Linked DNA regions of Alligator mississippiensis. The protein of the gene in region 3 interacts with the protein of the main gene of each other region in a pairwise test. Links are inferred from orthologs where the notes say so. Each region holds a gene or a part of one and is shown on either strand. Other genes may lie near its edges.

Region 1 (8,526 bases), on a different chromosome or scaffold from region 3:
CTTACAATCTAGAAAAGCGTTCTCCTTCTGGCCGAGCCAGTAATACAGTTCATTTGTTCTCGCCTAACTTTTGTGCAGAAGAACCTCCTTCTGGCAAGACGAAGCTTTTAAAACTAGATCCTTTCAAGTGCTTTGAGAACTCGTGTAATCATCCTAAACTTCTGACGGAAAGTTAAAGCTCTGTAGCAAGGCAGTCTTAGAAAAAAAAAAATTCTTAAATCAATACCGAGGGGAGGGAGAGAGACATTGCCAGATCATACAGATCTACACACATACACACACACTTTTGGAAAGAAAAAAGTACGAATCTGGCTTTCCCAAGCTCTGAATGAACATATTAAATCACCATAGCCTATTTCTTGAGGCAGCATATCTGCAGGGAAATAAAGTTGAATTTCTTTTGTAAACAGGAACGCCTTTAGTCCTGAAATCTCTGCAGATTTCTCCCGTTCTTCAATAAAACTCTTTTTTTTCTAAGAAAGAAAGAAAGAAAGCGAGCCCCCCTCCACACAAAGACCCTTCCTTTGCAATGCAGGATCCTCCCTGGAAGTTGGCTCACGGAGTGAAACACCCGCGGTACAAAACAGCCTTGTGCTAGTGCAACATAAATATACCTTAACAAGACGTCTAGAGCCCAGCGTCCTTCCTTTCCAGGCATCAATAAATAAGCAGCAACCTTCAGCCTAGGTCCCGAACAGCTCTTTTGTCAACAGCCCCTCCTAACCTCTGCGCCCAGGGCCTCCCCGCGCCCCGAAAGGCGTGGGGCGAGGAGCGGACAGCTCTCCCCGGGGGGCTCCCGCTGCTGTGGGCAGCCGGGCCGGGCCGGGTCTTTCTCGTCCTGGCTCGGGCCCCTCAGCAGGCGCTGGTCTCGGGCGCGGCGGCGGCGGCGGGCTCGGCGGGGCCCTCGGCGGGAGGCGCTGAGGCGGAGGCGTTGATGTGGCAGCCGCTGGAGAGGTGGCTGCGGACGCGGCCCTGCAGCTGGCTGACCTGGGCGCGCAGGAGGCTGGCGGTGGCGGCCAGCTCCGCGTTCTGCCCCTTCAGCGCCTTCACCTTCTCCTCCAGCCGCGCGATGCGCTCCAGCTTGCGGCGCCGGCACTTGGAGGCCGCGATGCGGTTCCGCAGCCGCTTGCGCTCCGCCTTCAGCCGCTCCTGGCTCTCGGCGTCCAGCGGCGACAGTGGCGGCGGCGTCCCCGCGCCCCCCGCCTCGGCCGGCGGCGCCTGCACCTCAGGCACGGTCTGCGGCTCCTCCGGGGCCCGCGCCGGCAGCCTCCCGGCCCCGGCCAGCGCCGGCGAGAAGGGCAGGCCGGGCGGCGCGGGCGGGTAGGAGCCGCCTGAGGGGCTGAGCGGCCCGGCGGGGTTGTAGCTGCCGAGGTTGGTGTAGACGGCGGGCGGGTCGGCGGCGGCGGCGGCGGGGGGAGGCGGCGCGGGCCGCGCGGCGCAGCAGGGCCCGGGCGGCGACAGCGGCGCGCCCAGCAGTTGGTTCTGCTTGTGCAGGTCGGCCAGCGCCTTCACGAACCCGTCCACGAAGCCCTCCTGCTCCTGCGTCACCTGCTGCCGGTACAGGAAGGGCCCCGCGGCGGCGGCGGTGGGGCCGGGGCTGGCGGGGCCGGCGCCTTGGATCAGCAGCTGCTCCAGGTCGGCGGCGGGCGGCAGCTTGAGCAGGGGCAGCTCGGCCGGGGCGCCCGGCGCCACCAGCGCCGCCTCCGGGCCGCCCCGGGGCCCCGCGCCCGGCGGGGGGGCGGCGGCGGGGAGCAGGCGCAGGGCAGCGGCGGAGCGGGCTCCGACCCCGGCCCCGGCCGGCCGCAGCGCGAAGGGCCCCGGCAGCGGCGCGGGGGAGGCGGCAGCCAGGTCCCGCTTCTTCCCAGCGCCCAGCAGCAGCTTGTGCGCGGCCGCCGCCTCCGCGCCCGGGCCGCCGGCGCCGAAGCCGTGCAGCGGCACGAAGTCGGGCAGCAGCTCCAGCCCCTCCTCGGGGTAGAAGGGCGCCTCCATCTTCACGCCCGCCCTCCCGCCGCCGCCGCTCATCGTGGCCGCTGAAGGGACCCCGACCCCCCGCGGGGGCCGGGGCCGGGGCTGTGCGCTCGGCCGCGGGGCGGGTCGCCTCGGCCCGGCGCGCGGGGCCAGCGGAGCCGGAGCCGCCTGCGCGGGGCTGGCGGGCGGCAGCGAGAGCCCCGGCAGGGGCGGGGCGGCGCCGGGCCCGGCCCTCGCACGCGGCTCCGCGTCTGCCGCGTCGGCGGCACCCACCCCGCCGCCTCGGCGAGCCCAGGAGAGAGCTGGCTTGGCGCCCGCGGCACACGAGGAAGGCGAGCGGAGGGGCGACGGGGCCTGGAAGGAGGAAGCGAGCGCGCTGCCCCCGCCCGAGGGCGCCCGGGGCTCAGCTTGCTCGGGCCAGGCCCGGAAACCTTTGGCAAGCCTTCACCTGTGGGGAGTGGGTTAAGAAACTTCTCAGTGATGGGTTTTTTTCCTGTGAGAAAATGCAGGTTTGTGAGTTTTGTTTTGGGGGGAGGGGGTTCTTTTACAAATGTTTCTGACTGCAGCTGGTTGGACTGCCCCATCTGGGCGTTTTCAAACTTCAACAGTTTTGTTTTTCAGCTCCCAACATTTGGAGACTCTGGCCTTTTGTCCTCACTGGGGACACACGAAGCGGAGCCCCCAGGTAACTGCTGGGTGGGACAGCTGGATTCTGTCGAGTTCTGCTGACAGAGTCTTGTTCAGGGATTTCAAAGCCATTGGCAACACGTAGGGGGTGCACACAGGTGCACATACACCCCGAGGGTGGTGGTGCACCCCGACAAAAGGTGCCACAGATAGTGTTGGCTGCCACTCGCCACCCTTCCTTGCCACCGACGCTGCCGGTGGCGTCTGCGGGCAATCCACAATTGCCACTGGCCGCTGCCACCAGTGTCTGCAGGTAGTTGCCGACCACTGGTTGGCACTTGCCACCCTCCTCCCCACCACCTCTGGGAGCTCACCATGCCTCCAGGGGCAGGCAGTGTTCATGCTTAAAGCCATCATGTTAAAGGTGACAGCTCATCTTGACGTGTTCCCTTTAGCTCACTGAGTGAGTGACCATCAGGGCGTGCTATAACTAATCCACAAATAATAGAGCAGTGCTCCCTGTGAGTTCTCCACCTGTTCTCCTGTCACAAGACCCCCCCCCCCCCCCCAGGACATCTGTTCATCCTTTCTCCCAACACAGGGGTGTTCAACTGGCTCTGGCCCTTGGAGCCAGGGCTTCCCAGGGGTTTGGAAATTTGGTAGTAGTGGCAGCATTAACTGTTGCTCCCCTGCTGCCAAATTCCTGGGACATGTGGGGAGCCTGCAGGCTGGATAGTGTGGTTCTGTGTGCTAGATCAGGTGCACAGGGCTAGGCTGGCACTGGGCACTGGAGCCTGACCTTGGCATCAACACTGCAAGGCATCTCGCCCACAGACCAGCTTCAGGCCACTCATCTGACCCACAGGGCCAAAAAGTCATCCATCACTACCCTTGGACACTTTCACTCATTGTCTCAGGACCAGGCTCCCTTTCTGCCCAGGCACCCGCCTGCTCAGCCTGTCTGCACCCACATTGCTCATGCTCACCTGCATGCTGCTCAGTGGTATTGGGCTATGGTGCTGTGCCTCCTGGCTCTGCTCCAAAATCAACTGGAAGGGAAGAGGCTGACAAGCAAGGAGCCCTCTGCCTGACTTGCCAAATGGTTTTCCTCTTCACCCAACATTACATAAAGGAGCATTCCTTTAGGGGCTGCAAGAGTCAAAGAGTCTGAGGAAAAATTTTCTAGTCAGCAGCAGTAGTTTGGGTCAGCATGTTATACCCCAGCCTCCTGCTACCTGCAGTAGTCTGCCTTAATGCTGGGCAGCAGCTGGGTATCACCCTTTGTAGCTCATCTTAGGGAGTACTCTAGGGAAGGGTAGCTAAATGAGACTCAGAATAGAAAGAGGATGAGAGACCTTGAGAAACAGGAAGTATGACAGGTATTAACAGAGAAATGAGAGCTTGAGGGGGCTGGAGTAAGGAGGGTCATTGTGAGTTTCTGAGAAAATGTAGGGGAAAAGGGATATTAGGAAAGGCACTGCGAGGTGGGGACACCTTGGAGTGGTACCTGGAAAGCAGATATCTAGGGAAGCAGAAAGACCAGCAAGAATTGGCTGGGGGACTTTCAAGAAATACAGGATTAGAGAATTGGAGGCTTGATAGAGAAAAGTGCAAAGGAAAACAGAAGAAAACAGGTCTGGCAGAGACCAGGGAGATTGTGGGGCTTTAGGGAAACTGGTGCTTACGGCAGGGAAGATGCAGGTTTTGTGGGGAAAAGAAACAGTGGGTTATGGAAGAATTTTGAGGATACACATCAAATTACGTTACCAAGGACGTTAGTTTCTCCTGAAAGATCAATCGTATTGATATTCTGGAGAAAGAGGGTGAGCCTATAGACACAATGAGAACTGGTATCCCAAAAGGTAGTCCAGGTCCAAACAAGCAGGCTACCACGTTCCATCTACATAAAGTGGGAGGCACTAAGTCACATCACCAGTCTCTTAAAGCCCAGCAGGTGTGGCAGGGCTGTCCCAGAAAACTACTAGTTACCTCCTCAACAGGGAAGAGTTGTATCACAGACAGAGCTGATTTGAGACAGACCCTTACAAGTAAATCCTGGGCTAGGAAGTAGCTGAATTTTCCTTCCGCAGAGGGCATTAGAGATGGACCTCTGCCATTCATCCTAACAAGCTACTGCTGGTCATTGCTACATTAAAAATGCTTCCCACCACAATCTGAAGATCTAAGCTGTTGGAGTGGGAATCCCACCAATGAAAGAGCAGAGACCTCCCCCCAATAAAAACAACAGAGATGCTTATTTTAAACCATGTTGTCTATCTTATTTAGATTTGTTACTGGGGTCTGCTGAAATTTGTTCTTGAGTTGCTGTTGGGTGAATGGAATAGACACATAGGTTCTTCACATTCCCAATTTCAATAGTACAGTATACTAATATTGTCACAAGTTGTTATTTTTTAAAGTAGTGCCCAGATTTTGTAGAGTACAGGCAGTCCTCAGACTTAGGACACAATTGGTTCCTGAAAAAAGCGTCTTAAGTCGAAACATGGTAACTCGGAACTAATTTTCCCATAGGAAACAATGTTATAAATGGGGGATCAGTTCCTGAACCAAGGCCTGATACCCTATTTTCACCCAAAATAACCCAGAATTTTGTACTCAATCAATTATAGATGAATAATGTAGCTACATTAATGTGTTTATATTGTAAACAGCAATCATATTGATTTGGAAGAACTTATTTGAGGTGACTTTGCTTGGACTTTTTGAAGGGCGCTTGGCTGGAGTCTTCTCAGGAGTCCTGGCTGCAGGTTTTTCTGGTGTCTTGTCTGCTTTGTTAAAGAAAATGTCCAGGGAAGTTTGGACAGATGTTCTCCAGGGAGATGGGCGATGCAGCAAACTTTTTTGCTCGCGTGGGGTTGAATCAAGTGTTGTAAAGTTGAAACTGATGTCAGAAAGTGGAAAGTGTCAATTTATAAACGTAAGTGCCATTCGTTGCAACTCCAAACATCTCAAAGTCGAGGACTACCTGTATTCAGTCAAGCCAGAATGACAATCCCTGGAAACTGTGGAAGTCAAGGCTTGAAAAACTGACCCTTCACTTGAAGCCCGAAGGGAACATCTCCCCCAAAACCCAGGGCAATACTTCGGTGAGAATATCCAGTTTTACTCCCTGCAGCCGGGTCTCCTCGCAGGAGCCCGCCCCTGCAACACGCCCGGGGCTTTCGAGGCTCGCACCCACCTCGCTCTAGGACAGCAATACTCAAAGCCTACTCCCAATTCACACGCGGAAGCATCTCCACTGTGTGCCCTGCAGCTCATCGCAGAACATGTCATTGCAGTGCAGCCCCGTGCCCTCCTTTACCAGCTGACCGTAGGAAGGAGCTAGTGTCCCCCTTCCCGCGTAAGCTGCAGCACTCAGATCGGCGAGCTAGGAGCAGCTGGGCAGCAGCTACCACCAGGGCAGGAATGCGACGCTCGACAATAAGGCACCCGCTCGCGCTCCACGTGCACGGCTGCCCCCCCCGCGGGGCGGGGCGGGGCGGGGCGGGGCAGAGGCCGAGAGGCGCGAGCCGGACGCGTGGGGGCAGGGTCCCGCTATAGGCAGGGGGCGGGGCCATTACAGCCAGCGTCCTCTCTGAGCCTCTGCTGCTACTGGCTGGGAGATCGGAAAGGTCCCGCCCACGCGCGAGGAAAGAACCAATGGAGAAATGCGACTGGGAGCTCTCGCGAGAGTTTCCTTGAAGCTGGCGCCGCCATCTTGGAGTTGGGAGAGGCCGCGTCCTGTTTATGTCGCTCCTAGGGGGTCGCTGAGGGGGGATGGGCGCCGGGCACTGAGCTAGCGGGGCCTATGCGTCCGCCGCGCCCCCGGGCCGAAGCATCGCCGGCACGGGCGGCCCCGGGGCGACAGGATGGTGCAGTCCTGCTCTGCCTACCGCTGCCGGAACCGATACGACAAAGAGAAGCCCATTTCCTTCCACAAGTGAGCGCGAGCGGTGCGGGGGGCGGGGCCAGTGCGCAGCTCCGCGCGCGCCCGGTGGCCGGGGGGAGGGGGCGCGCGGCGGCGGTTGGGGGCGGGGCCTGTCACCTCCAGGAGCCTCGGGTGCGCGCGCAGCCCCACGTGGAGGCGGGACGGACCTCGCGTGAGGGGTGTTGGGCGGCCCCTGGCAGCCGCACTAAGCATGCCTCTCGGCCACAAGGTGGGGGGGAGTGTGACCCCACCCATGCACTATGGTCAGGCGAGTCAACTTCTGCCTACACATGCATGCGTATATGCATGTCTATATACATGTCTGTATGTATGTACATATGTGCACGTGCCTATGGATGTGTGTATGTATATCTGATGCCGTTAGTCTATAGAGGTGCATCTCTAGCCTACCCTCTGGTGCTCTTTGGCAGGTGGTGGTAGCCTGCGTGTCATGAATACCTATGCACGCCTGCATTTAGGTCTCTGAAATCCATGTGCCTCAAACGAGGCCCAGCATGTGGCCCAATTGATGTCCCCTGTTGGTGCCTGGAGCCAGCTGCTGGGACAAGCGGCTGGCCGGCGAGTCAAGTAGTGGCGGCGCACATAGTAGTGTCCAACATGTGCTGCCATGCTCGCATGTAACGAGAGTCCCAACAGGAAGCTGACAGTGCCTCTTGGTTGCAGGTTTCCTCTCACAAGGCCTGATCTCTGTAAGAAATGGGAAACCGCTGTGAAAAGGAAAAATTTCAAGCCAACAAAGTACAGCAGCATTTGCTCAGAACACTTCACTCCTGATTGCTTTAAAAGGGAGTGTAACAATAAGCTCCTGAAAGAGAACGCCGTGCCCACAATATTCTGTTACACTGAACCCAGTGAAAAGGTAACCATGAAAACTCCTCTTTAAGGAGTGACTGACACAAATTTACATATGTAGATATATAATGCATGCTTTTTTTTTTTTTTTTTTTTTTTTTTTTTAACCTCAAGAAGGAGAACTGTGGGAAGGAGACTGTTCCCTGTGCATGATCATAGTTTTGGTCAACTTATAAGCAGGGATCCTGGTTTTCCATTATAACCCCCCCCCAATTCTCTGATAAATTGTAAATTCTCTGATAAAAATCCCAAAATCTGTGGTTAAAATTAAATGCCCTCCACATCCCCCCCACAGCCCTGCTGGTGTCTCTCACTCCTGTCCCCCAGTCCTGCTTGTGCCCCTGTCCCACAGCCCTGCTGGAAGAGCCCACAGCTGCTAGGGCTATGGGGCCAGGGACCCAGGTCCACAGCCCCCAGCGGAAGGCAGCAGTTGCTACAGTAGGAGCATGAGCCAGCTCCCCCCACTGCTGCCTGCCTGCCTTGGGCAGGGCTAGCTCCCCATGGCAGCGTGCAGTCCTGGGAGCCAGGGGGGACCCATGCCCCCCAGATCTGTGGGGGGTGGGGACAGGGCGGGTCTGCGCTGCCCCCATGTACACAGAGGAAGTGTGGCCAGGGCAGAATGGAGCTTGCAGCAGCAGGCAGCTTTCTTGTGTGGCCCTACTGTGCCCTGCCGTGCCAGTTGCACACGCTGCGCTCCGGAGGGCCTGGGGGAGGGAAGCAGGGTAGGGAGCACAGCATTTCTGACACTCAGTCTGCAGCTGGCCGGCACTCCAGCTGGGGTAGGGAGGGGCGTGTTCAGTCTCCCTGCTCCCGGTCGGAGTGCCTGGCCAGCTGCAAACCTCACCTCCTGGCTAGGGAGTACCTAGCTGGGGGCTGAGGGAGTGTGGAGGTTTGCAGTCGACTGGGCACTCCAGTTTGCAGCTGGCCAAGCACTCTGGCCAGGAGTGGGGAGGCTGCAAACTTCACCCCAGCCGGAGTGCCCAGCTGGCTGCAAACCTCCCTGTTCCCTCAGCCCCTACCCAGCTTTCCCCCCCAGCCTTGTCGTGCAACCCCCAAGCTCCACTTACCTCCAGCAAGAATAGTGAGCCTGAAGCAGCCTCTGGTAAGACTTGATGTCAGGACCTGCCCTT
Region 2 (7,774 bases), on a different chromosome or scaffold from region 3:
GAGGTCTAATTTCCAATCCCAAAATAGATCACTAGAAGTCATTCCCGGGGACAGGAGCTTTGGTCTGCCTGTGAGTAAATCGGAGATGGAATTGGAACGATTCCGTTTTGCAGCCAACGGCCAACCTACAGGGGAGATGGAGAGAAGAAATTATTTAATAGTCCTCAAGGAGGAGACATTGAAAGGCATGTGCTTTAGAGGTGGGGTCTTCCGGCAGCAGAAGATCCCACCAGCCCCTCTCCAACCTAGGACGTGGATGGTGGCTATGGTTGTCAGGCTGAATATTGAATCACAAGGAAATTCAGGGCAAATCATTCTGCCAGTGGAAATCTCAAGAGTCCTTTCCCTGAGCCATACCCCTATCATGACAGCAGAGACAAGGTCTCTGCTCTAGCATGGAGGAGGCTGGTGTTACCATAAGCAGAAATGCTCTGGCTTGGTGCTACCATAAGTAGAAATGCCTTCAGGCTGTGTTGAGCTGGGCTGCGGACTGGGGAGATCATCAGCATGTCTGATTTAATGCATCTTTGTTGGGCAACAGTGTCTGCATGTCTCTGACTATGCCTAAGGAAATTGGGGGATTTCTGTTCCTCAAGGATTTCTCCTTGCTTGGCAAGCTGGCTTTGATGGATGCCTTGCTCTGTTCCCTGTGCTGAGCTGGGGATGCAGCTCTTAGGGCAAGACCAGCCAATCAAGCCTCGCACCGGGCAGCTAGCATGGCTATGAGGCATATACCACCTGGGGTCTTCCAGCAACACCCCAATGCTTGTCCTTGCCTGTAGAAGAGCCTCCAATCCAGGGGAAATACTTGGATCTGCCCAGAGAAAGTGGAGAGGTGAGTATTTGTCAGGATGCACCACTTCTTGGAAGAGGCCAAATTGGTGAGTTAGGATTGAATAACCCCCTAACAAACATGAGAAGCTTGGGCTGTTCAAGGAAGTGTTTGGTGCTGTGCAGGTGATGAAGGAGGGAGAAGGCTGGGGGCACTAACACTTTCATATTGTCTGTACCCCAGGGAGGGTGTATACCGCGTCATCAGAACCTGCTGTGTTATTGCCTGCATCCAAGCCCCTGTTCTCCTGGGCTCCCACACCTGGATCACCCTTGCTGGGCACGCTGGGCCCCCTCGCTCCCATGTAATGCCACGTTGGAGAGGTACTGTTGGATTTTATGAGCTGTGGGGAGAGGTGGGGGGCCACCAGAGGTCTGGCCGATGGTTCTCGCTGCCATGGCCATGTCAGACTAATGCACTTGATGTAGTCATGTGAAATAAACAGTATTTTTCTTTTTTCAACCCCCCCCTTGTCTTTAATTGGTGAGAATCTGCCTGAAGTTTGTATGGTCAGTGAATGGGTTTTGGGCAGGGTGAGAAGGGGGGCAGGAACGGGGCGCACAAGGCAATGACACTAACATGGGGAGAAGTGGGCATGCTGGAGGAGAGGGACAGGCTACAACTAGATCTAGACAAATTACAGGGGTGGGTGGATGAGAACAGGATGGGGTTCAACACTGACAAGTGCAAGGTGCTGCACCTGGGGGGGGAAGAACCAGCGGCATACCTACAGGCTGGGGAACTCCCTTCTCATCAGTGCAGAGGCAGAAAAGGATCTTGGAGTCATTATTGATGCCAAAATGAACATGGGCTGACAGTGTGGGGACGTGGTCAGGAAGGCCAACCACACCTTGTCATGCATCCACAGATGCATCTCGAGCAGGTCCAAGGAGGTGATCCTCCCCCTCTACACAGCACTGATCAGGCCGCAGTTGGAGTATTGTGTCCAGTTCTGGTCGCCGCACTTCAGAAGGGATGTGGCCAGCATTAATAGGGTCCAGAGGAGGGCCACCCGCATGATCAGGGGGCGGCAGGGCAGGCCCTACAAGGAGAGGTTAAGGGACCTGAACCTGTTCAGCCTTCACAAGAGAAGGCTGAGAGGGGATCTGGAGGACATCTACAAACTGGCCAAGGGGGACCAGCAGGCAATGGAGAGTCCCTGCTCCCCCGAGCAGTACCGGGAGTAACAAGGAATAATCGCCATAAGTTGATTGAAAGTAGGTTCAGGTTCAGGCGCTACTTCACAGTTAGGGTGGCTAGGATCTGGAACCAACTTCCAAGGGAAGTGGTGCTGGCTCCTACCCTGGGGGTCTTCAAAAGGAGGCTGGATAATCACCTAGCTGGGGTCATTTGACCCCACTACTCTTTCCTGCCCATGGCAGGGGGTCAGACTTGATGAGCTGCTCAGGTCCCTTCTGACCCTAACATCTATGAAACTATGAATGGCCATCCTGGAGCAGCATTCCCTGCTTCTGCCATGGTGAAGCAGTGGGCTCAGGCCAGGAGGGAGGGATTCTCAGCTCAGCTCATCCCAGATCCTCCTGGCCTGGTCAAGGAGTCCTCCAGGAAGCCAGTGGGTTCAGTGAACCCTGGGTAGATTCCCTCCTCTCTATTATCTTCCTATTCCCCCCCCTCCCCCCCCCCCAGCATAACTCTTGCAAGGGACAGGCACCGCTTCGTATTAAAACCTCTGGTGATCTAAATATGACCTCGGGAAGCATGGCTGCTTCTGCCAAAAGGCACTAGAGAGCCCCAAAAGGCCTCACAAGGGGCAGGATCCAGATGTGCTGGGTGGTGGATGTGGAGCGGGATCCAGATGTGCAAGGTGGTAGACTTAGGGCAGGATCCAGGTGTGCAAGCTGGTAGACTTGGGGCAGGATCCAGATGTGCCAATTCTTCGACTTGGAGCAGGATCCAGATGTGCCAGTTGTTTGACTTGGAGCAGGATCCAGATGTGCCAGATAGTGGATCTGGAGCGGGATCCAGATGTGCTAGGTGGTGTATTTGGAGCAGGATCCAGGTGTGCAAGCTGGTAGACTTGGGGCAGGATCCAGATGTGCCGGGCAGTGGATTTGGAGCAGGATCCAGATGTACCGGTTGTTCGACTTGGAGCAGGATCCAGATGTGCCAGATGATGGATCTGGAGCAGGATCCAGATGTGCTGGGCGGTCGATCTGAAGCAGGATCCAGATGTGCCAGTTGTTCGACTTGGAGCAGGATCCAGATGTGCTGGATGGTAGACTTGGAGCAGGATCCAGATGTGCTGGTTGTTTGACTTGAAGCAGGATCCAGATGTGCCAGATGGTGGATCCGGAGCAGGATCCAGATGTGCCGGGTGGTCGGTCCAGAGCAGGATCCAAATGTGCCGCTTGTTTGACTTGGAGCAGGATCCAGATGTGCCGGGTGGTGGATTTGGAGCAGGATCCAGATGTGCTGGCAGTCAATCTGGAGCAGGATCCAGATGTGCCGGGCGGTCGATCTGGAGCAGGATCTGGACGTGCTGGGTTATTGACTTGGATCCAGATGTGCTGGCTGGCGGCAGTGGTAGATTTGCAAAAGTGCACCCAACTCGCGGCCCCGCTGGGATAAAACGGTGATCTGAAAACTATTTCCATCTGTTTCCACGACTGTCTTCGGCTTTCAGGGACCCGATGCCGGGCGCCGCGTGCCCCGCAGCGGCCGGCGCTGCCGAAGCATCCCGCGCGCACCCAGACACCTGCTGCGCCCCCCAGGCCAGACTGGACCCCCCACCCCCAGGTCGGGCTGGGACTGCAGAGCAGGGTTCGCCACCAGATGGCATCCTGGTCCACATCCTTTTTGCAAGGTGGTGAGAAAAATGACCCCCCCCCCCCCCCAAAAAAAAAAAAAAAAAAAAATTCAGAGCTTGCTAAATTTAGGAGCCCGGATGATTTTCGAGGCTGGCGGGAAGGAGGGTTGCACGGACCGGTGCTCTCCAGGCAGGAGGGAGGCAGAGATCAGGCCTGTTTTTTTAATCCCCAAATCATCAGGGTTTAATTCTGTAAGGGGGGGGGAGCTTTTTGGGTGCTGGGAGACAGGCAGCCACAAAGGGAGGGATGCGCACTGCACACGGGCAGCATCTGCACGTGCACAGGTTGGCAATGCCCTCCCGCTGCGGCCAGGCGCGTGAAGGGTTAACACCCCGGGGCGGGGCCGGACTCGAACTCGCGGCTCCAAGGGAGGGGGGAGGAGGCCGAACCTGGTCCCCACCACGCCGAGTCCCGTCACCCCGCCGGCCCCGCCCCGCCCCGCGCTCGTAGCCAATCGCGGCGCGGCTCCCCCGGGCCGCGGCCCCCAGAGGAGCGGCGATTGGCCGGCGCCGCGTGCGCGTCGGGCGGCCAGGGGCGTCGCCATTGGCCGCGGGCGGAAGACGGGGGCGGGGCGTGTTCCCGGCCGGGCTGGCGTGGGGGGTCCGCGACGCTGCCGCCTCCATATTGCGGGGGCCGCCGGGGGCGCCGAGCTGCGCCCGGGGCCTCGCGGGGAACGGGCGCTCCGGGGGCCGGGCTTGTGGTAGGAAGGGAATTGGGCCCTGGGGTGCGAGGGGTTAATTTCCATGGGAGGAAAGACTGGGCCGTGGGGTGTGAGGGGTTAACTTCCCTAGGAGGGGGGGTGTGAGGGGTTAAATTTCCTGGGAGGAAAGACTGGGCCTCAGGGTGCGAGGGGTTAACGTCCCCTGAGGGTGACGGGGTGTGAGGGGTTAAAATCCGTGGGGGTGGGGGGTGCCGGGGGGCTAATATCCCTTGCAGGGGCGGGGCGGGGCGGGGCGGGAGCAAGGCTGGGGTGCTGGGAGCCCCGCTTGTTGGGCAGGACAGCGCCCCCGGAACGCCCTCAGGGGTGGTGGTAGCGGTGGGGCCGGGGTCCCCCCCCCCCCGGGTCACGTGCCTTGGGACTAGGGGGGCGTCTGCGGGGTGGCCGGCCCCGTGGGGGCTCGCTGTGCGCTGACCCCCCGGAGCGGCCAGGATGGCGTGGGCCCTGAAGCTGCCGCTGGCGGACGAGGTGATCGAGTCGGGGCTGGTGCAGGATTTCGATGCCAGCCTCTCGGGCATCGGGCAGGAGCTGGGCGCCGGGGCCTACAGCATGAGGTAGGGAGACCGCCCCGCGGCGCTGCGAAGGGAGCCCCGTTGGGGACTGGCGCGTGGCGGGGCGTCGTGGGAGGGCGCGGGGCGCGTCCGTGGGTGCCAGTGACTCGTGGCTGAGCTGCGTGGGCGCGAGCGCCGTATCCCGTTGCCGCGTGGTAGGTGACTCCTTCTCCTCTGCCTGGTGCCCGGCGTTTATTGGCACCCCTCGAGGGCAGTTGGACCTGCTCCTCCCTCCTCCCAAGCGAAAGGAAAGGGAGGTCAATTTAGGATACTCCAGCGCTGCACAGACCTAGAACTGGGACCCGGCGCCGGGAAGCCCTGCGCTGCCCTCGGCACGAGGCTGGTGTGGGAGACTCCAGGGTTTTTAACAACCTGGGTGAGTAATTTGTCCGAAGGCAAAGTGGTGTAACGGTGCCGCCTGCTTCGGCGTTGCGTAAACCTGAGAGCCGGGAACTGGACTCCGTCTGTCTCTCCTGGTGCTGCCTCTGGAAGCAGCAGGGATTTGGCCACAGCTGGAGACAGGTGACGGAGCTGGGCTGAGGGGACGTGGAGGCTCCTTAATTCCCAGGCATCCGCTGGGCTGCTGATCCCATGCAGAGCGGCTGATGCCACATCAACGAGTCCACCTGGAAGCGTCATCCTGCCCTAATGAGTTGCCCCTGGGAGAGGGGGAAGTGAAGAAGCCCCTTTTGAGTGCTGTGCTATGATTTGAATGCAGACCTTAGCTTCAGACCTGGCCTCCCCGCGCTGTGGGTTAGGGAGGAGTTCGAGTCGTTGCCGAAGGGTGATAAAGTGCGTAATTCGTGCTTGTTTTGTGGTCACCAGTGTTTGGGGCCTTTGTGTGATAGGTGCCGTACTGGGAGAGGTGTGCGTCAAAAGAGTTGTATGTGTTGCTGACCCATCCAGGGCATGCTCTCCTCTGGTCCCAGCGGCACAGGCTTTCAGCACTGGAGACCCTTGGTTTGGTGCAGGATGGTGACAGTCACGCTTGTAGTCCGAGAAGGTGCGGGGCATAGGCAGAGTCAGGGGGAGCGATAAATAGCCAGTAGGTGCGATTTTTATGGCTCGTACGTATTGATAATTCCCTTCCACCACTACCCCAACTAATAGAAAGTGCCACCTGTTTCCCTCCAGCTTGCTTGTTTCCTGTGGATCTTCTGGCTTCCAGGAAAGGGATCAAGGAGACCAGGTAGCAGGTCAGGGAAGCAGCACTTGCCCTGCAAAGCGTGTGGGGATCTACTTGAGAAGAGGGGGTGAGAGCTCAGAGTCGCCAGGCGTGAGGGGGAATGCAGAAGGAGGGCCGCATGAGACTGACTTTGGCTTGGGAAGGAGCATGTGGCAGTGAGGGGGAATAGAGAGGAAGCAGGGCCTTGCAGGTAGGGGGAATCGGCTGCTTGAACTATACCTTGCGTTGGAATGGCGTGGGGAGCCAGCGGGGGAGTTGTGTTGAAGGGAAGATCCAGTCGGTTTGCACTTTGGTTTGCTCACAACAGTTCCTGCCCAGCTGAGGTGAAATCAGAATAAAACTTGCTTGAAATAAAGGGAGGGGGAAGTCCGAGATGACTCCTTGATTACACACCCGAGTGATGAGAAGGCTCTGGAAGCAGTGGTGGGGGCAGGATCCGGAGTTCAGCCACAGAAAGCTGGTGCTGACATAGAGATGTCTGAGATATGGGCCAAGATGAGATGGGTCAGGGCTGGAGGAGCAGATCTGAGTCATTCATGCTAAGATGGCAGCGGAGGCATGGGTGGAGGAGACAGCCCTAACCTTTTTTTGCCCTCACAGTCACGTAATTCCATGCAACTCCATTCATGCAGTTATTGCTGTTCACGTGTCCGTCGTTCACGGAGAATTTACCGCAACTTGGCCGCTCCGTGTTACCTCCCTGCCCCCAGCCTTGTCCCATGGTGAGGCCTAAACTAGTTGTCCCCAAATAAAACAGGGCCACATTACTGGGTTTAGCACTTGCTCACCGTGAGATAATTGTGAGCACGGGGGCAGCTGAGTGTGGTTAAACCCCCAGTTTTGTGTAAGTGAGGGGCACAAGAGGTAAGCGTGGGCTCTGGGGGATTAAGGGCAGATGAGACTGGAGGGGCAGGGGGGCATTCCCCAGTGAGACCCTCCTCTGGACAAGCTGTTGGGAGCCTTCCCGGTCTTGACTGGGCTGTAGTGATAACCATCCCCAGAGGGAAAGTCTGTGGTGGATATCGCTTTTTCCCACCATGACATTTCCCGGGGGTGGATGCCACCGTTCCCAAGGCGCTAATGCTTTACATGCAGTGCGTTGGCCTTTCCCGCACTCTCCAGTCAACAGGGAGCATAGAGCAGCGGTATTTCCTGTTTCTTTCCCTCTCCATGAGGGACAGGCAGTGTGAAATGGCAGCTCTTTATTATATGGGCATGATCCCTCATTTAAACTGGTGCCAGGGATAATTAAGGCTTCTCCCACTTATTTCTGACTGTCTCTCTGCCCTGTGACTGTAGCATCTCACATGCTGGCCTCTGACCCATGGCCAAGGCTTGTAGGCGTAGGGACCCCTGTTAAGAATCTGGGCTCTGCTGAGCCAAGTGCTACAGAGATCGGTTTCCTGCCCCAAGAAGCAGTTAGAGACTGATATTGGTGGGGGGATTCCAGCTTCTCTGTTTGGCTTGTGATGCTTGAGGAAAAGGTCCAAGTCCTAACTAACCCTTCAGTTATATCAGCTTGTCCAGACTCTTGCAACCTGAGCTGCCTGCTGTTCTTCAGTGCTTGGAGGAAGAGCAGTAAAAGAGAGAAGATGACTCCAGTTGAGGCTTGAGGGGCAGAAGAAGGAAACAGGGAAAGCTACTTTATGTGATGGGGCT
Region 3 (8,087 bases):
GATCTTCTGGAAGTAGCACTAGTGATGGCATTCTAGGCTTTTCAGGTGATCCCTTTAGGTCACCCAACCTTCACAGCTATGGTTTTGGCATGGAGGCAGAAGAGATTGAAAAGGTTCCCATCCATTCTGTAGTCAATGACCCTAATGACCTAAGAGCAACACTGTTGGGAGCCCAGTATTTCTGGTAGGGTCACCCATGGCACTAAGGTCAAAGGTGAGGTATCAGATGAAGAGCAGACCACCACAACACAAAGACCTCAATGGTGGAGTAGCTGGATGCAGAAGACATACTTCTCAACAGTTGTGAAGGTGGATGAACGTTGCAATAGAGGAGTAATCTCAGTTGTCTTGGATCCCCTTGCCACTGCACACAGATTTCTCCTTTGCCAAGATTCATGTGGTTGACGATGCGGAATGGCACCTCACATAAAACATGTCATGTGCAGGCTTTTCCCAAGGGTGCAACACGTACTAAAATTCCCCTCCACAGACTACCACCTTGACAGAGTGGAGAGGCTTGTGTGTACTGGTGAGTGACCCTCTCCTTTCCCCATTCCCCTGCTGGGATATGCCCACCTATTATATTTTGTCTTGGAGCAGGAACTCTACTATTTCTTGGGTGAATACCACCAAAGCATTTGTAAGGCTATTTTCAACCCCCCTATAAACACATAATTAACACATTTCTAAGAATTATATGAACACATATTTCAGTAGATACAATTAGCATATAAACACTTAAAATAAGTGACAATGATCATGTTATATAGATGATCTTTTTTAATTAAAGTCTGGATGTGAATTGCTCCTAGGATACTGGTGTTAAAGTTGTCCTATATAGGATTATAAAAACAATCTTTTTAGATGTTTTAAATTCAATTTCTAATGTCACCTGAGCCTTTTATTTCATGAGACAGCAATGTTTTCCAAAATGACAATTTCAAGGCAAATGTAGGGAGCCAGATTCTCTGTTTCATTAAAGTTAAGTTAAGGGCAACTTTAACCTATGTCAGCTGGCATTGGTTCCCAAAAGACTGCCTGCTAGCTGAGCACAATTGGAAAGGGGTGAACTCCTGCTCTCCATCTCTCCTTGCCTCCTATCCTGTGCCAGAGACTATATGGAGGCAGTATGAGAGCCAATAGTGCCAGCTGCTGCCGGAATAGCTGAAGAATCCACTCCCTAGGCCACATGAAGTGGAGCAAAGAATGTTCCTCGTGATTCCCAGGCGTACCAGCATTGTATTTATTTACAAACCATTACAGAACTTGGTTTATACAGGGACATATGCCATATTGGTACTTAATAGCCTCACTCTTTGCAAAGATTTTATATATATATATTAGTGAACCATGATCTTGGCTTCATATTTAAGTCTGAGTTTATCTTTTCTATTGAAGTGATGTATTCTTTTCTGTTACTGAGGTGCATAAAATTGGGCCTGATACCAATTAAGAGCTGGAATAAGTGGAAAACATCCAAGTAAATACCAGAATTGTGAAGGAGTGAAATGAGTCCTTTCTGTAAGATGGGGACTATCTAATATATCTTTGGATCTGACAGTTTTAATACCACTTCAGACTTTCCACATGGTCACATCTCCTTGACAGCTCAGGTACATGCTTGCTTATAATTCTTATTAACTACTTATGTGAAGAAACCAGGGTGTAGTTATTATCAAATTGTTATACTTACAGTGGTAATGGACTGTAATGTTGTAGCATAAACTACAGTTCCCATAAGGCTGTTGGGGAAGAAAGGAAGCAAAGGAGAGCTAGGACTGCAGTGAAACAGCTTGGGAAAGGCAGCAGCTGGAGAGACTCATGGCAGAGGCTAAAAGCAGTAGCAAAGCTGAATCTGCAAGCCACCACAGCCAGGCTCAGGAGTAGAGCTTGGGGAGACAGTAGTGTTCTGTGGGAGCAAAGACTGGTTTGCAGCTCCCTCTGGAGTTGAGGGAGGGTCTAAAGCAGGGATTGGCAATCCCTGGCACATGTGCATCATGAAGGCATTTTGCTTGGCATGTGTACCTCGGGGCAGACAGCAGGGAAGGGGCCAGAGCTGCACTGCCACAACAAGGATAAGGTCCCTTGCAGCTGCCCTTCTGTCAGCTTGGAGACGCACATGCACCCACCACCAGCCATAAGCTAGACTGGGGCTCTGCAGGCCTCAGTACAACAGCTTGCAACTTTGCAGTTGCCTGCTGCAAGCAGCCCAGGCTCCATGGCGGGTGGCAGGAGCCTGCTCAGAACCCAGATTGGCTGTGGCAAGCAGCTGGGAGACTGCAAGTCGCTGCACAGAGGTCTGTGGAGCCCTGGCCTGGCTTGTTGCTGGCGGTGGGTGCATGCATGCCTCCAGACGGACAGCAGGGAAAGGGATGGGGCTGTGAGGCCACAACTAGGATCAGGCCCCTCACATCTCCCTTGCTGCCCGTCTCTGGTATGCTAACATCTTAGAAGCTGAAGTTGGGGTCTTTTTGCCATGCTTCCCAAAAATGTTACTGACTCCTGGTCTGAAATTTCTTCAGCATATATACAATGTTGTTAATGTTCCCTATCTGTTACCTTGCTATCTGCCCCTGAATGGTTTCACAGCTAAGTCACTGTTTGTTACCTGCTATGTATATCCTGAATATTTACCCTAATGTGTATCCACCTGTGGTTTTCTCCATCTCTTTAGCCCATTGGCCTGTGACCCTAAGCCCCAGCATCACCTATATAAAACTGAAACCCCTCCATTTTGGCTTCCTGTTTCAATTTCTGGGGCTCTGGAATTCAGTACACAGTCAAGCTCTTGTCAATACCTCAAGTCATTGCTAAGTGGTGGCATGTGACATCAGAAGTAACTCACACCATATCTTTCTCTCCATATCATTTATCTTGTGCAATTCTATCAGTTGAGATTCATTATAGAACAAAAGGCCTGTATGTGTTAAGAGATCTTAGTGGATTCTCTTCACACACAAACAAAAGGAAACAGATTGGCTCAGGTAGTTGCATAAATCTTTCCATTTGTTTACATGTAAGTTAAAATATGACCAATCTAAGAAAACCTTGTAAATGAAGGACAAGTATTTTTTTGTCTGAAATATAATATGCGAGTCTGAGTGTACTTGCACACCAATCATTCATAGCTATAAAGCCTGGTAGGATAAAAAAAACCTATAAGTATAAAAAAACCCTAATTTAATACAAAAAATGTTATCTCCATCAATATATAAAAAGGCAACCAAGCTCTCAATTCAAAATGTTCAATGGTCAGCTCCATGTTCTGCAAACTCCTTAAAGTGTCTTTGATCCACTAATAACAAATCTTACAGCAAAAGGAATGAGTCTGAAAGTGCTTGATTGCATAAGTAATAGTTTGCAGGGCTGTTCTTCTGTTGGGGATTTTTTTTGACAATGTATGGAAACTCTTGCTGCGTCAGCACTAGTGTGCTGAATGGCTCAGACAAATCCATTTGGTAACACCCTGTAGATCCTATAATTGTGATTGTTTCAAAGTCATCTGAGATTGCAAGTCATTGTCCTTTCTGTTCAGAGTTAGTTTCCTTGTTCTCTGTGATCAAAGTAGGTATTATAAGCACTGCATGGAGATGTTTATGAGAACAAAAACTAATTTTTCTTGACTGACATTTTTTTGACTTGTTAAAACACATTTTTTCTCCTCATGCATACAAACCTTCACACTTGAGTCCAAAATGAGTTCACAGCATCCTTTAAAAAAGTTAACTCAAGATATACTTTTTAAATATCATAAAAGAAAAGGATTTGAGATTAAACAGTCCCCTTGTTAGCACCACTCCTGTGCATCACGCCGTAACAACCTACCGAGACAGAACAAATCTCCTTTAGAACATTTTTGACCACCTCTAATATTGTACAGTTTCGGCCCTAAAGCTGAGTGGAGCCCTGCCACCGCGCAGAGCTGCAGGGGGCAGTGGAGACTTCACAGGTCTGACCACAAAGATGTAGGTTTGGCGTCTTCCTGAGGTGCATGCAGCCTGCCCGCCACTCGCTGCACCAGACCTCCGCTACCTCTCAGCTTTGGGGGAAGGGACTCAAGTCCTATTTGCATCTCAGATCCCATTTTTGCTTTTCAGAGCAGCTGACGTCCTCCCCGCTCCTCTTATTCCATGACAAATTCTTATAAGTTTTGACCCCGAGTCAAAAAGACACTGAAATGCTACTGTCGGCGTGATGCAGACAGGTACAGATACGAAGTGCAAACAGCGAGACCTCTTGGTTCAGCAATGATACCAATGATAGTTGGTACCAGACCAGCGATATACAGAATGCTACTTTTGCGATTCCCTAGTTGGTCTATCTAATACAAGGCATCATTGGTGTATCAAGAGATCTAGATGTTTGCCTTTCCTTTTGTCTCAGACCAACACGGCTACCAAACCAAATTCACCCCAGTACAGATCCAGCACTTGGCCTCAAGCCCTTGCTCTAGCACAGCCGCAGCAACAACCCCGGCTTGTGCGGCCAGTACCCCCTGAAACTCACTATGACGTCATGCCAGCGCTGGCTGTGCCCGCCTCGGGTGAGGGCTTGTTTCAGCCCCGCCCCCCGGCCAACATGGCGGCGGGGAGGAGTAGAGAGGAGGCGGGGACCGTCCCGGCGCGCGGCCTCTCTAGCCCGCTGGCGGCTCACGCTCGGTGGCAGCCGCCCGGCAGTCCCCCAATGGGGACGGAGGAGGAGGGCGGAATTGCCCGGCATGCCGCGCGCTGGGTCCATCACTTCCCGCCCAGGGGCTAAGATGGCGACTCCCATGCACCGACTCATCGCTCGGCGGCAGGCGTGAGTGCGCGGGGCAGGGACGGGGCCCGAGGGGCGGCGGGATCCCCCGGCCCGAGGGCTTCGCCCCGACCCTCTGTACATCGGGGCGGGGGTGGTGAAGTGGTCCCGGGGCCTGGAGCTGACATATCAGAGCTGGGGAAGGAGTGGGTTCAGGTGACGCCCGGGCTGGCTCTCAGGCGCCCCCTCCCCCTTTTACTCTTCCCCTCCCCCTTTAAGGTGCCGTGCTTGTTTGTTTGGACACAAGCATCAGCCCTGGAGGGTGGTGGCTGACAGCACCAGGCTGCTCAGGGCTGAAATCCGAGGAGGTGTCAGTCGGGTTAGGATTGTGCTGCTTGTTGCTAAGGTCAGGGGGGTAATTAAGGTCCAAGAGGGAGGCCTTGATGAGGGTTTGGCACTCCCGCCCTTCCTGGGAGGACGCACCTGACGAGTCCATGGTTTGCCAAACCCGTGCTGGGGACGTAAGACACGCTCCTGTTTTCACGTTGAAAAGGGCAAGGGTTTCTGAGGCTGAGATTTTTGTATTAGACTGACAGGGTTCCCACCAAGTTGAAAAAGGCACCTTGCACTCGTAGAGAAGCACAAAGATAAAGTTTAAATGTCCACTGAAAATCGTGCCGATCACGTTGCAGTACCTTGCTCACAGTAGCGTACAGGTTTCCCTCCCCAACCACGGTTTTGAGTATCCATGCTTAATATGCTATATACCATTTTGGCTACCATGGTATACAGTTTTGAGTAACCGTGGCTTTCCACGGCCGTGTGTCAGCCCGCCACCTGCCATTTTTCTCATAACCTTTTTGTCTTGCCAACCATGGGAACTTCCAGGAACCCAACCCCAGCAGCTGGTGAAGGAAACCTGCATTTCAAAATGGTTTTGGTGTTTGCTAAAGGGAAAAGAAAAAAAAAAAAAGCTAAACTTCGGCTATGTAAATAGAGGAAATGTATCATAATTTACATAGGATTTCACTGTAGTGTTTAGGAGTCCATTCCTGGGGGGTCACTTTTATATATTTTTGGTGTTGTAGGGTCTGGATAGTGTGATAGCATTTGTTGCATTTGCATCTTATTGTTAAGTTTACATTTGGATTTCCCCCACTTCTTTTTAATTGGAAAATTACAATTCTTAACTGTCTCTGTAATAGTTATCTTAATTTCCTCTTTATTTTTGGCTTGGGACATAGTTTCTTTCCTTCAACTCATCCTTTCACATGCTGTTCATGAGTGCTTTTTGTATTGTGCTCTGTGTCTTCCCAGTTTTCAGTTAGTTTGTGGTTGTTGATCTAGTGCTTGGTAAGAGTTTTGCTAGGTCTTGTGCACTTGTGTGGGAGCTTTTTACTGTTAGGGCTGGGTTTAGAAATGTGTATGGCCATCTTACTATGTTTGATCAGTCCTTCTCAGCAATTAGTATATTGTTCTCAAGTCTTGATCCTATAATTGCATAGTGTGTGGAATTATTTCTGGATCAGAAGATGAGTGGCCTTGAAAGATGGCATGTTACTATGTTGACATTTGATTATATTACCTTGTCCTCTAGTGAATACAGATATGTGCTGGTTTGACACTTGACACCAATAGTTGAATATTTGTGTTTGTATGTAGTTTGAGAGGCCATATCCTTCTAATTCTGCTCTTGTAGAGTAATTGTGGCAGAAGCACAAGTCTGTAGCCACTAGAAACTCCTTAGTATTTTGGTGTCGATTTGTTGTGACTCTTTCCCTTGTAACGCTTCTAAACCAGCACAAATTCTAATGTAGATGCTTTATAATGAGCTTGTTCAATTAGTAGCTAACGATTCCATCATTAGCTATTAGTAGCTAATGATACCATGTGGATAGTTGCTGAAGTTACTTATTTAAAAAAACAAAACCCTACCTTCTGTGAGTAAAAACTGAGACGTAGTTTGTCACAAAATAATCCCAGAAATTGACAGCGTTTTTTGGGTACCATATGTAACTGGTTACACTCAAAATGATGGGTAAGGTGTAAACTGTTCTTTGGTTGCATGGTGAAAGGAGAGACGCAAAGAAATTACAAAGAGCCATTTGAAGACTATAAAAAACACCTGCAACTTTTGCCCCTTTTGAAATATATACTGAAAATGTGCTCAGCTAATCTGATGATGTTTGAAATGCTTGATACTTTTTAGTTTGCTTAGTGAATGGCATTAATTCAGATAGTTTTAAGGGTGCTTTCAAATACTGAACTGTTTTGTAACTCTTACACTTAACATTTTGAAACATGATGGATTTAATGGCAATTTGAGTGTGTGTTTTTAGTATCTAAACTAAGGAAGTTTGAATGATTTTGACAGTGTGAGAACTGTTCTGTAGAGACCCAAGCCAACTGCCAGCTGTCATATTTGCTTCTGAGGTAAAAATACCATGTTAATTTAGAGAGGATTTTTTTTTCTTTTCCTTGGTGGAGGTAGAACAAATACAAGGCACCAAAACTTAAAATCACAGAAGCAGAAAATTAGGGTTGGAAGGGACCTCAGGAGGTCATCTAGTCCAACCCACTGCTCAAAGCAGGACCAGCCCCCACTATATCATCCCGGCCAAGGCTTTGTCTATCTGGGTCTTAAAAACCTCCAAGGATGGAGAGTCCACAACCTTTACAGGTAACCTGTTCCAGTGTTTTACTACCCTCCTAGTGAGAGAGTTCATCCTGATAATCTTAACCTAAACTTCCCTTGCTGCAACTTGAGACCATGGCTCCTTGATCTGTCATCTGCCACCACTGAGAATAGTTCAACTCCATCCTCTTTTGAACCACCCTTTAGGTAGCTGAAGGCTGCTATTACATTTCCACTCAGTCTTGTCTTCTCTAGACTAAATAAACTCAGTTCCCTCCGTCTTTCCTCAGAAGTCATGTCCCTCAGCCCCCTCACCATTTTTGAAATTCTTAGCTGTTTTTCCGATTCAGTCAGCTCAGTCTAAAGGTCAAGTTTCCTGCTATTCCTGAAAATGTTATATTTGGTTGTAAATCAATATGTTTTAATGATTATATCAACTAATGACAATGAAGTCTTCCATATTAAAATAACTATAAAGTACAAATAAAAAGCAGGATTAAAACTACTTTAAACCATGTATGTCTGCTTGATTTAAATCAGTCCACCATTTTGTTTTGCATAGTAAGAAAACCAAATTGCTGTTACCTTCTATTTAAAAAAAAAAAATAAAACAAACAAACAAAAATATATATAGTGGAAATCTGTCCCTAGAAGAGTGGCTGAGAGCATTTTTTAAACAAAATGGCTTTTTGTCAAAATGGAAACGTTTTGTGAG
Region 4 (7,070 bases), on a different chromosome or scaffold from region 3:
AGCAGTGTCCTGGCTTGGGACCGGTGCTGGGAGCTTCCCCTGACCAATGCCCTAGCCTAACCCCTAGTGCTGAAAGCTTTCCCCCAGCAGTGCCCTGGATTAGACGGGGTCTGTGCCCACAGGTCCTGCAGACCGGGCGCTTCTCAATGGTGTGGCGTGGCTCCCTGCGGGGGGTGCCCGTGGTGATCAAGGCCTTCCCTGCCGCTAGTGACCAGCACTTCGCAGCTGAGTGGGGTGTCCTGAGCCGGCCTCTCATGAACCATGACAACCTGGTCCAGCTCCTGGAGGCCAGGCGGGGGGACGGGCCCAGTAGGCGAGGTGGGCTGCTGGTCATGCCGCTCTATGCCCAAGTGAGTCGCAGCCTCAAGGCTGGTATTTGGGTTGTATGGGGTGTTGGAGCAGGGGGGCAGCTCTTGGGACCTAGGGTTGGTGGCCTGGGTCTGTCCCATCCATCCATCGTGCAGATGAGAGCTCAGTACAGGGGGTTGGGGGCAAGGCTGGGGTTGCAGGGGCGGGATGCGGGGGTCAGCAGGTGTGGGGGGCCAGGCTGCATAGCAGGGGGCTGGAGGCCTCTAGGCACCTGGGAGCCAGGACACCTGGCTTGGAGGGGACAGGGCCTCATGGCCAGAGCAGGAGGCTTGAAGCCAGGACACCTGGGTTCTCATCCCATCTAGGGTGGGAGCAGAGGCAGTGGTTAGAGCATGGGCTTTGATGCTGGGACTCCTGGGTTCCTCCTTCAGCACACGGAAGGTGGGGGGAGCAGGGGTGTCTCCGGGTGGGGGGCTCTGTCGGACCTGAGAGCTTCGTATGGGGCAGACAGGGCGGGCGAGCAGGCAGGGGGGAAGTGACAGAGAACAGAGGGGGGTCCCAGGCCCTGCCAGTCCCTGGAGGCTAGGAGCAAGAGGGGTCCATCCACCCCCGTCCATCTGTCCATCCGCAGGGCTCCCTGCGGTACTTCCTGGGTCAACATGCCAGCCCCTGGGAGGGCACCGTGCGCCTGGCGCTGTCGCTGGCCTGCGGCCTGGCCTTCCTCCATGATGAGCTGTGGCGCGATGGTGAGACCCCCTCCACCTGCCTGCCCAGCCCCCATGCACCGAGCTTGGCTGACCTGGGGGGTCTCTGCCATGCCCCCCTTCCCCTGGGTGGGGGACTTCTGGCACCCCACTCACCACCCCCCCCCCCCCATTCCCCTGCACGCCCCAGGGTTATACAAGCCAAGCGTGGCCCACCGGGACCTGAGCAGCCAGAATGTGCTGGTGCGGGACGACGGGGCCTGCACCATCGCCGACTTTGGGCTGGCTATAGTGCTGCCCACCAGCCCCGAGGCCTGGCCCAGGGACCGCTCGCCCACCGCCATCAGGAAGGTACCGGGGCTGGCAGAGGGGCCGGGGGGGTGGGACAGGGAGGAGCCCACGTGCAAGCCATAGCACTAGTGCGTGCAAGCTGTGATCCAGAGCTGCAAACATGGGCACCAGTGGGTGCAAATCTCAGCCCAGGCATGTGCACACATGGATACTTGCATGTGCCAGCCTCACAGCCGGGGTAGAGCTGCATGTGAGTCCTGGCCCCAGGATGCACCAGAAGTGACCCCTGGTGCGTATGAGCCTTGTTACTGGGGTGTGCCAGGCTGGTACTTGTGTGTGCAACTTTCAACCCAGCCATGTCCAAATGTGGGCATGCCATGTGTGTGGGGCTGGGCATGTGCATGGGTAAGTGGCTGAGACGTGTGGGTCTGTATTCTTGAGCATGTGGCTAGTGTGTGTGCGCGTACTTGTGTGTGCATGTGCTCATGAGTGTGTGTACTCACTTGTGCATGTGCTCATGTATGCATGTGCTCGCAAGTGCCTGGGATGTGCATGTGTTCACGAGAGCCTGACACGTGCGTGTGCTCATATCTGCATGTGCTCATGAGAGCCTGGCATGTCCATGCACTTACATGTGTACACGCTCATGAGAGCCTGACGCATGTGTGTGTGCACTCACGTGCACATGTGCTCACGAGAACCTGCGTGTGTGCATGACAGCCCGTATGTGCATGATCTCACATGCGTGCGCACTCACAAGAGACTGGCATGCCCAGACACTTATATACACACATCCCGGCACTTACAAGTGTATGTGCTCATGAGAGCCCAGTGCATGTGTGCGCTCATGCGCGCGTGCTCCGGCAGCTGGGGACACAGCGATACATGGCCCCCGAGATCCTGGACGAGAGCCTGGACCTGCGGCGCTGGGGCTGCGCGCTGAAGCAGGCCGACGTCTATGCGTTTGCCCTGGTGCTCTGGGAGATCCTCATGCGCTGCCCTGCGCTCTTCCCAGGTGAGGGCCCCGGGTTCAAGCCTCCAATTTGCACCGGGGCACAGGCCCCAGAGGAAACTGGGGACACCAGGGGAAACTGAGGCAGGTGGGGACAGGCACCAGGGGAACAGCACCCAGACTCACCCCTTGCCCCCCCAGCCCGGGGGGTGCAGTCAGGACCAGTGGGGGTGGGGGGCACAGGACAGTGAGACTGCGGGGGGGGAGGGGGAGGAGCCCCTGAGTTGGGAGCAGGGGGCATTGCCCAGCCTGGGGGTCATCTAGGGCTGGGCAGCCCCAGGGCTGCTTTACATAGCATCGTGCCCCCCCACTCCCCGAGCACCTAGGCCATGCCCGTAATGAAGTGGACTGTGACATTAGCAGATCTCAGGGGGTACGTACAGTGCCCAGGGTGGGGCTGGTGGGAGAATCGGCTCCTTCCCTTGGCTGTGCCCCCCCAGGCTGCAGCGTCCCTGAGTTTCGGCTGGCCTACGAGGCGGAGCTGGGCAGCAGCCCCAGCCCCATGGCGCTGCGGAGGCTGGCGGTGGAGCAGCAGCGGAGGCCAGCCATCCCCCAGGCCTGGATGGGCACCAGAGGGGTAAGGGGAACAAGGGGGGGGGTACAGGGGCTACACCCCCCCATTGCAAGGTTGAGACCCAGGGAGGCCCCTGATGCCCCCCTCTCCTCTGCCAGGTCCCCGGCTGCCTGCAGGAGCTGCTGGAGGACTGCTGGGACCCCGACCCCGAGGCCCGGCTGACGGCCAAGTGCGCCCACCAGCGCCTGCAGCAGCTGGGGCCGGAGCCTCCCTTAGGGGGGCCCTGAGCCAGCCGGGCGCGGTTCCTTATTTCCAGTTCCCTTTTCACTGCTCATCCTTGCCACCTTGAGGACGGCGGCAATGACCGGAGCAAGCTGAAGGCTCCGGGTTTCATCCCCGACGCGCCTTTGCTAATAAAAGTGTGTGATCAAGTCACCCAGCGAGTGCCCCAGCTTGAATGAAGGGCTGAGACTGCCCCCGGGCCCCAGCACCCGGGTTGGAGCCCCCCGAGTGGGCACCTGCAGAGACCCAGTGGCCCCAGCGCTGTCGGGAGCAATGAATTCATTGGTGCTCAGATGAGCCGGGCAGGGCCTGGTGTTGCCCCCTGCGCCCCCCAGGCCTGGCAGGGGAAACTGCCAGGGCCCCCAAGGGAAGCTGAGGCAGGCGGGAGCAGAGACCGGGGAAACTGAGGCAGGCAGTGTGGACCCCGGGGGGAAACTGAGGCAGGTGGGGGCAGACACCAGGGGAAACTGAGGCAGGCGGGGGGGACACCAGGGGAAACTGAGGCAGGCAGCGGCGGATACCGGGGAAAAAGGCAGGCAGGGGAGGACCCCAGGGGAAACTGGGGCAGGCGGGGGAGGACCCCAGGGGAAACTGAGGCAGGCGGGGGGGACACCAGGGGAAACAGGCAGGCGGGGGAGGACCCCAGGGGAAACTGGGGCAGGCGGGGGAGGACCCCAGGGGAAACAGGCAGGCGGGGGGGACACCAGGGGAAACTGGGGCAGGCGGGGGAGGACCCCAGGGGAAACTGAGGCAGGCGGGGGCAGATCCCGGGGGAAACAGGCAGGCGGGGGCAGACCCCAGGGGAAACAGGCAGGCAGGGGGGACACCAGGGGAAACTGAGGCAGGCAGCGGCGGATACCAGGGGAAACTGAGGCAGGCGGGGGCAGACCCCAGGGGAAACAGGCAGGCGGGGGAGGACACCAGGGGAAACTGAGGCAGGCGGGGGAGGACACCAGGGGAACCTGAGGCGGGGGGGGCAGACCCTGGGGGAAACAGGCAGGAAGGGGGGACACCAGGGGAAACTGAAGCAGGCAGTGGCGGACACCAGGGGAAGCTGAGGCAGGCGGGGGAGGACACCAGGGGAAACTGAGGCAGGCGGGGGAGGACACCAGGGGAAACTGAGGCAGGCGGGGGGGGGCAACAGGGGAAACTGAGGCAGGCGGGGTGGACACCAGGGGAAACTGAGGCAGGCGGGGGAGGACACCAGGGGAAACTGAGGCAGGCGGGGGGGGGCAACAGGGGAAACTGAGGCAGGCGGGGTGGACACCAGGGGAAACTGAGGCAGGCGGGGGAGGACACCAGGGGAAACTGAGGCAGGCGGTGCGGACTCCGTGGTAAACTGAGGCAGGTGGCGATGGACCCTGGGGGAAACTGAGGCAGGCGGTGCGGAGCCCGGGGACCGGGCAGGCGGGGGCGGCTCCTCGCCGGGGCGCGGCTGACCCCGGGTGTCCGAGCTCCCCCCCCACTAAAGCCCGCACGTCGCGGCGATCCCCCCCGCCCCTGGAGCCGCTCTAACCATTGGACGGCGCTGCCGGAGCGGGGCCGGCGGCTCCTGCCCCTTTAACACCCCGGGGGCGGGCCCTGCGGGGGGGCGGAGGCCGCTCCCTGTCCCGGTGCGGAGGCGACGGCGGTAGCGCTCTGCTGCGGCCATGTGGGACCCCAGCGCAGGTGGGAGGCCGGGCCGGGGCCGGGGCCGGGGCCGGGCGCGGGGCAGCGGGCGGTGGCCCCGATCGCCCCTTGCACGCTCACTGCAGCTCTGCTTCCCTTGCAGGCCAGCCCGGCCCCGCCTACCCCCCCGGATCGGGCCCCGCCTACCCCCCGGGGCCAAACCCGGCTTACCCCCCGGGGCCAAACCCCGCTTACCCCCCGGGATCCATCCCAGCTCCCCCCCTGGGGCCAAATCCCACCTACCCCCAGGGCCCGATGCCCCCCAGCTCCTACCCCATGCCCCCCGGCCCCGGCCAGCCCCCCTACCTGCCAGGCCAGCCAGTGCCTCCCCCCTACCCCGGGGGCCCTTACCCCCCGATGTGCCCCGGGGTGCCGGCGGGGATGGGCATTGTCGCCCCCCTGGTGCCCGGGGCCCCTGCGCTGGATAAGAAGGCGGCGAAGAAGATGAAGAAGAAGATGAAGAAGGCGCACAAGGGGCACAAGCCACACAAGCTGCACGGGAAGGTGAGGGGGGGTCCTGGGGCCAACCCAGCCTGGGATTGACCCCCACGGGGTGGGGGAGCTGCCTCTTCCTAAACGCTGGGTCCAGCCCAGCCGGGCGGTGGGGTGTCTCGTGAACGGAGTTGGAGGGGTCTCAGCCCAGCTGCCGCCAGGGGTTTCTCCCCCCTGCCCCCTTGCATGCCCATGGGAGCGCCCAGGGCACAGTGGGGCCTGGCCTTCCCGCCCATGAGCCTCACGCCCGGGTTCTTCCTCCCCGCAGCGCTCCTCCTCCTCATCCTCCAGCAGCTCCTCCGACTGAGCCCGCCCGCCCGCCGCAGCTTGCCAGGAGATGCAACCTTTGCCCGCCTGCGGAAGCCAAGCCCCTGGATCATCCCACTCCCTGAGGCCCCAGGCCGAGGCCCTGCCGCGCTGGGATCAGGGCTAAAAGCAGGCGCCAGGCACCAGAGCCAGGATCCGGCCGGGATCTGGGGTGATCCACTCAATCCCTGGTGGCCTCAGCAACCTGGGGCCTGCTCACAAGCCAGAAGGAAATCCAGACCCCCCCCTCCCCCAGCCAATCCCTTCCTCCCTGCACTGTGTAGCTTCACCCGATTGGCTGCTTTGATGCTGGGGGAGGGGGGTGTTATGGATTGGCCAAGGGGATCTTTTTAGGGGTCCCAGTGGGGGGAATTGACCAATCCCAGGCTCGCTCTTGTGATCTAGTGCAGCCTGGACGCTGCCTACCTCACGGTCAGGACTGGGCAGGACAAGGCCCTGCCTGGTCCTCAGCCCCAGACCTGCACTGGGGGCGACTGGGTGGGGGCGCGAGCTCCCTCCGGGCTCCGCAGCGCTTGCCTTGCACTCGCCTTTCAATAAAGCCTCTTGGTTTCAACCCCCCCACTGGTATCAGACCCTCTGTGGCGCCGGTGGCTTCCCAGAATCCTTTGTAGCCAGTGTCCAGGGCCGGGGGGGCTCATGGTCAGCGGAGCCCCTGACCCATGGGGTGCACCGGACCCCCGCTGTGGGCTGGGCTGTGTTGTGGGATCAGCACCTCCTGGTGCATGCGACTGTCCTATTCTGGAGCACTGGCTTTGCCTTGAAATCCCCAGCACCTGGAGTCCCGTGAGCCGGGGAAAGGAGCAGATCCAGCCCAACTGAGCTCGGGCTGCAGCAAGGAGGCGGGCAGGTGGTGGGGCCAGACCCAGGTACCCGCAAGGCCAACCTGCCGCTGGTGTAACCCAGGAGGGGCTGTGACCCCGCTGTCAGGTGGGGTTGGGAGGTGCCTGCTCTGCCCACTGCTGGCCCTCACCTGCTAATTTATTTCAGCAGGAACATGCAGCTCTTCTGGGGTGGGGGCTGGCGTTGGCCGCAGAGGCCGGGCTGCAGCCATACCCACTGCACAGGGTAGGACGGGGAGCGCCAGCTGCAGGAGTCCGGGAGAGGAGAGGAGCCCTGTGGTCCGTGAGTGCAAGGTGTTGTACAAAGCCCTGCACTGCTGAGCGTGGCCATATCCACAGGTTGGGTCTCCCCAGTGGCATCCAGACCCCTGAGCCAGGTACATCCATGACATCCGGGTTGAGGGGCTTCTCAGGAGGCCAAAAACAGGCTGGCCGAGCAGGGCACTGCCTGGTGCCGGCCCCTGAGGACCCGCTGAGTGGGGGCTGGATAGGACCAGCAGTCTTGCCTCAGCCTGCCTCAGTGCCGCCCAAAATGACTCCCTTTCCTCGCCCATCCCAGGCAGGGCTTAGGCCATATGGACCAGCCTGTAAAGCTTCTGGGACTGGCTGAGGGTTGCACTGTCACTATGCCC

Evidence for each region.
Region 1: the proteins of ZCCHC10 (region 3) and THAP1 interact in binary tests that used the Homo sapiens proteins (3 or more experiments, as listed by UniProt). The two-hybrid records come from large-scale screens. The link is inferred for Alligator mississippiensis from reciprocal best matches to the Homo sapiens genes ZCCHC10 and THAP1.
Region 2: the proteins of ZCCHC10 (region 3) and TFCP2 interact in binary tests that used the Homo sapiens proteins (3 or more experiments, as listed by UniProt). The two-hybrid records come from large-scale screens. The link is inferred for Alligator mississippiensis from reciprocal best matches to the Homo sapiens genes ZCCHC10 and TFCP2.
Region 4: the proteins of ZCCHC10 (region 3) and PRR13 interact in binary tests that used the Homo sapiens proteins (3 or more experiments, as listed by UniProt). The two-hybrid records come from large-scale screens. The link is inferred for Alligator mississippiensis from reciprocal best matches to the Homo sapiens genes ZCCHC10 and PRR13.

The regions. Positions count from the first base shown.
Region 1 is NC_081826.1:155,713,940-155,722,465, reverse strand, and holds the start of THAP1 (THAP domain-containing protein 1), read left to right. Parts: upstream 1-5,330; 5' UTR 5,331-6,403; coding exon of another isoform or gene 6,404-6,464; coding exon 6,465-6,535; intron 6,536-7,207; coding exon 7,208-7,403; intron 7,404-8,526. Other genes in the region: transcription factor JunD-like, read right to left, coding at 853-2,022. UniProt on the Homo sapiens protein: DNA-binding transcription regulator that regulates endothelial cell proliferation and G1/S cell-cycle progression.
Region 2 is NC_081838.1:10,252,081-10,259,854, forward strand, and holds the start of TFCP2 (alpha-globin transcription factor CP2), read left to right. Parts: upstream 1-4,614; 5' UTR 4,615-4,810; coding exon 4,811-4,932; intron 4,933-7,774.
Region 3 is NC_081832.1:66,931,074-66,939,160, forward strand, and holds the start of ZCCHC10 (zinc finger CCHC domain-containing protein 10), read left to right. Parts: upstream 1-4,669; 5' UTR 4,670-4,717; coding exon 4,718-4,800; intron 4,801-8,087.
Region 4 is NC_081838.1:8,754,690-8,761,759, reverse strand, and holds PRR13 (proline-rich protein 13), read left to right. Parts: upstream 1-4,573; 5' UTR 4,574-4,761; coding exon 4,762-4,780; intron 4,781-4,883; coding exon 4,884-5,284; intron 5,285-5,540; coding exon 5,541-5,579; 3' UTR 5,580-6,156; downstream 6,157-7,070. Other genes in the region: AMHR2 (anti-Muellerian hormone type-2 receptor), read left to right, coding at 123-350, 941-1,055, 1,204-1,364, 2,172-2,319, 2,757-2,893, 2,989-3,117. UniProt on the Homo sapiens protein: Negatively regulates TSP1 expression at the level of transcription. This down-regulation was shown to reduce taxane-induced apoptosis.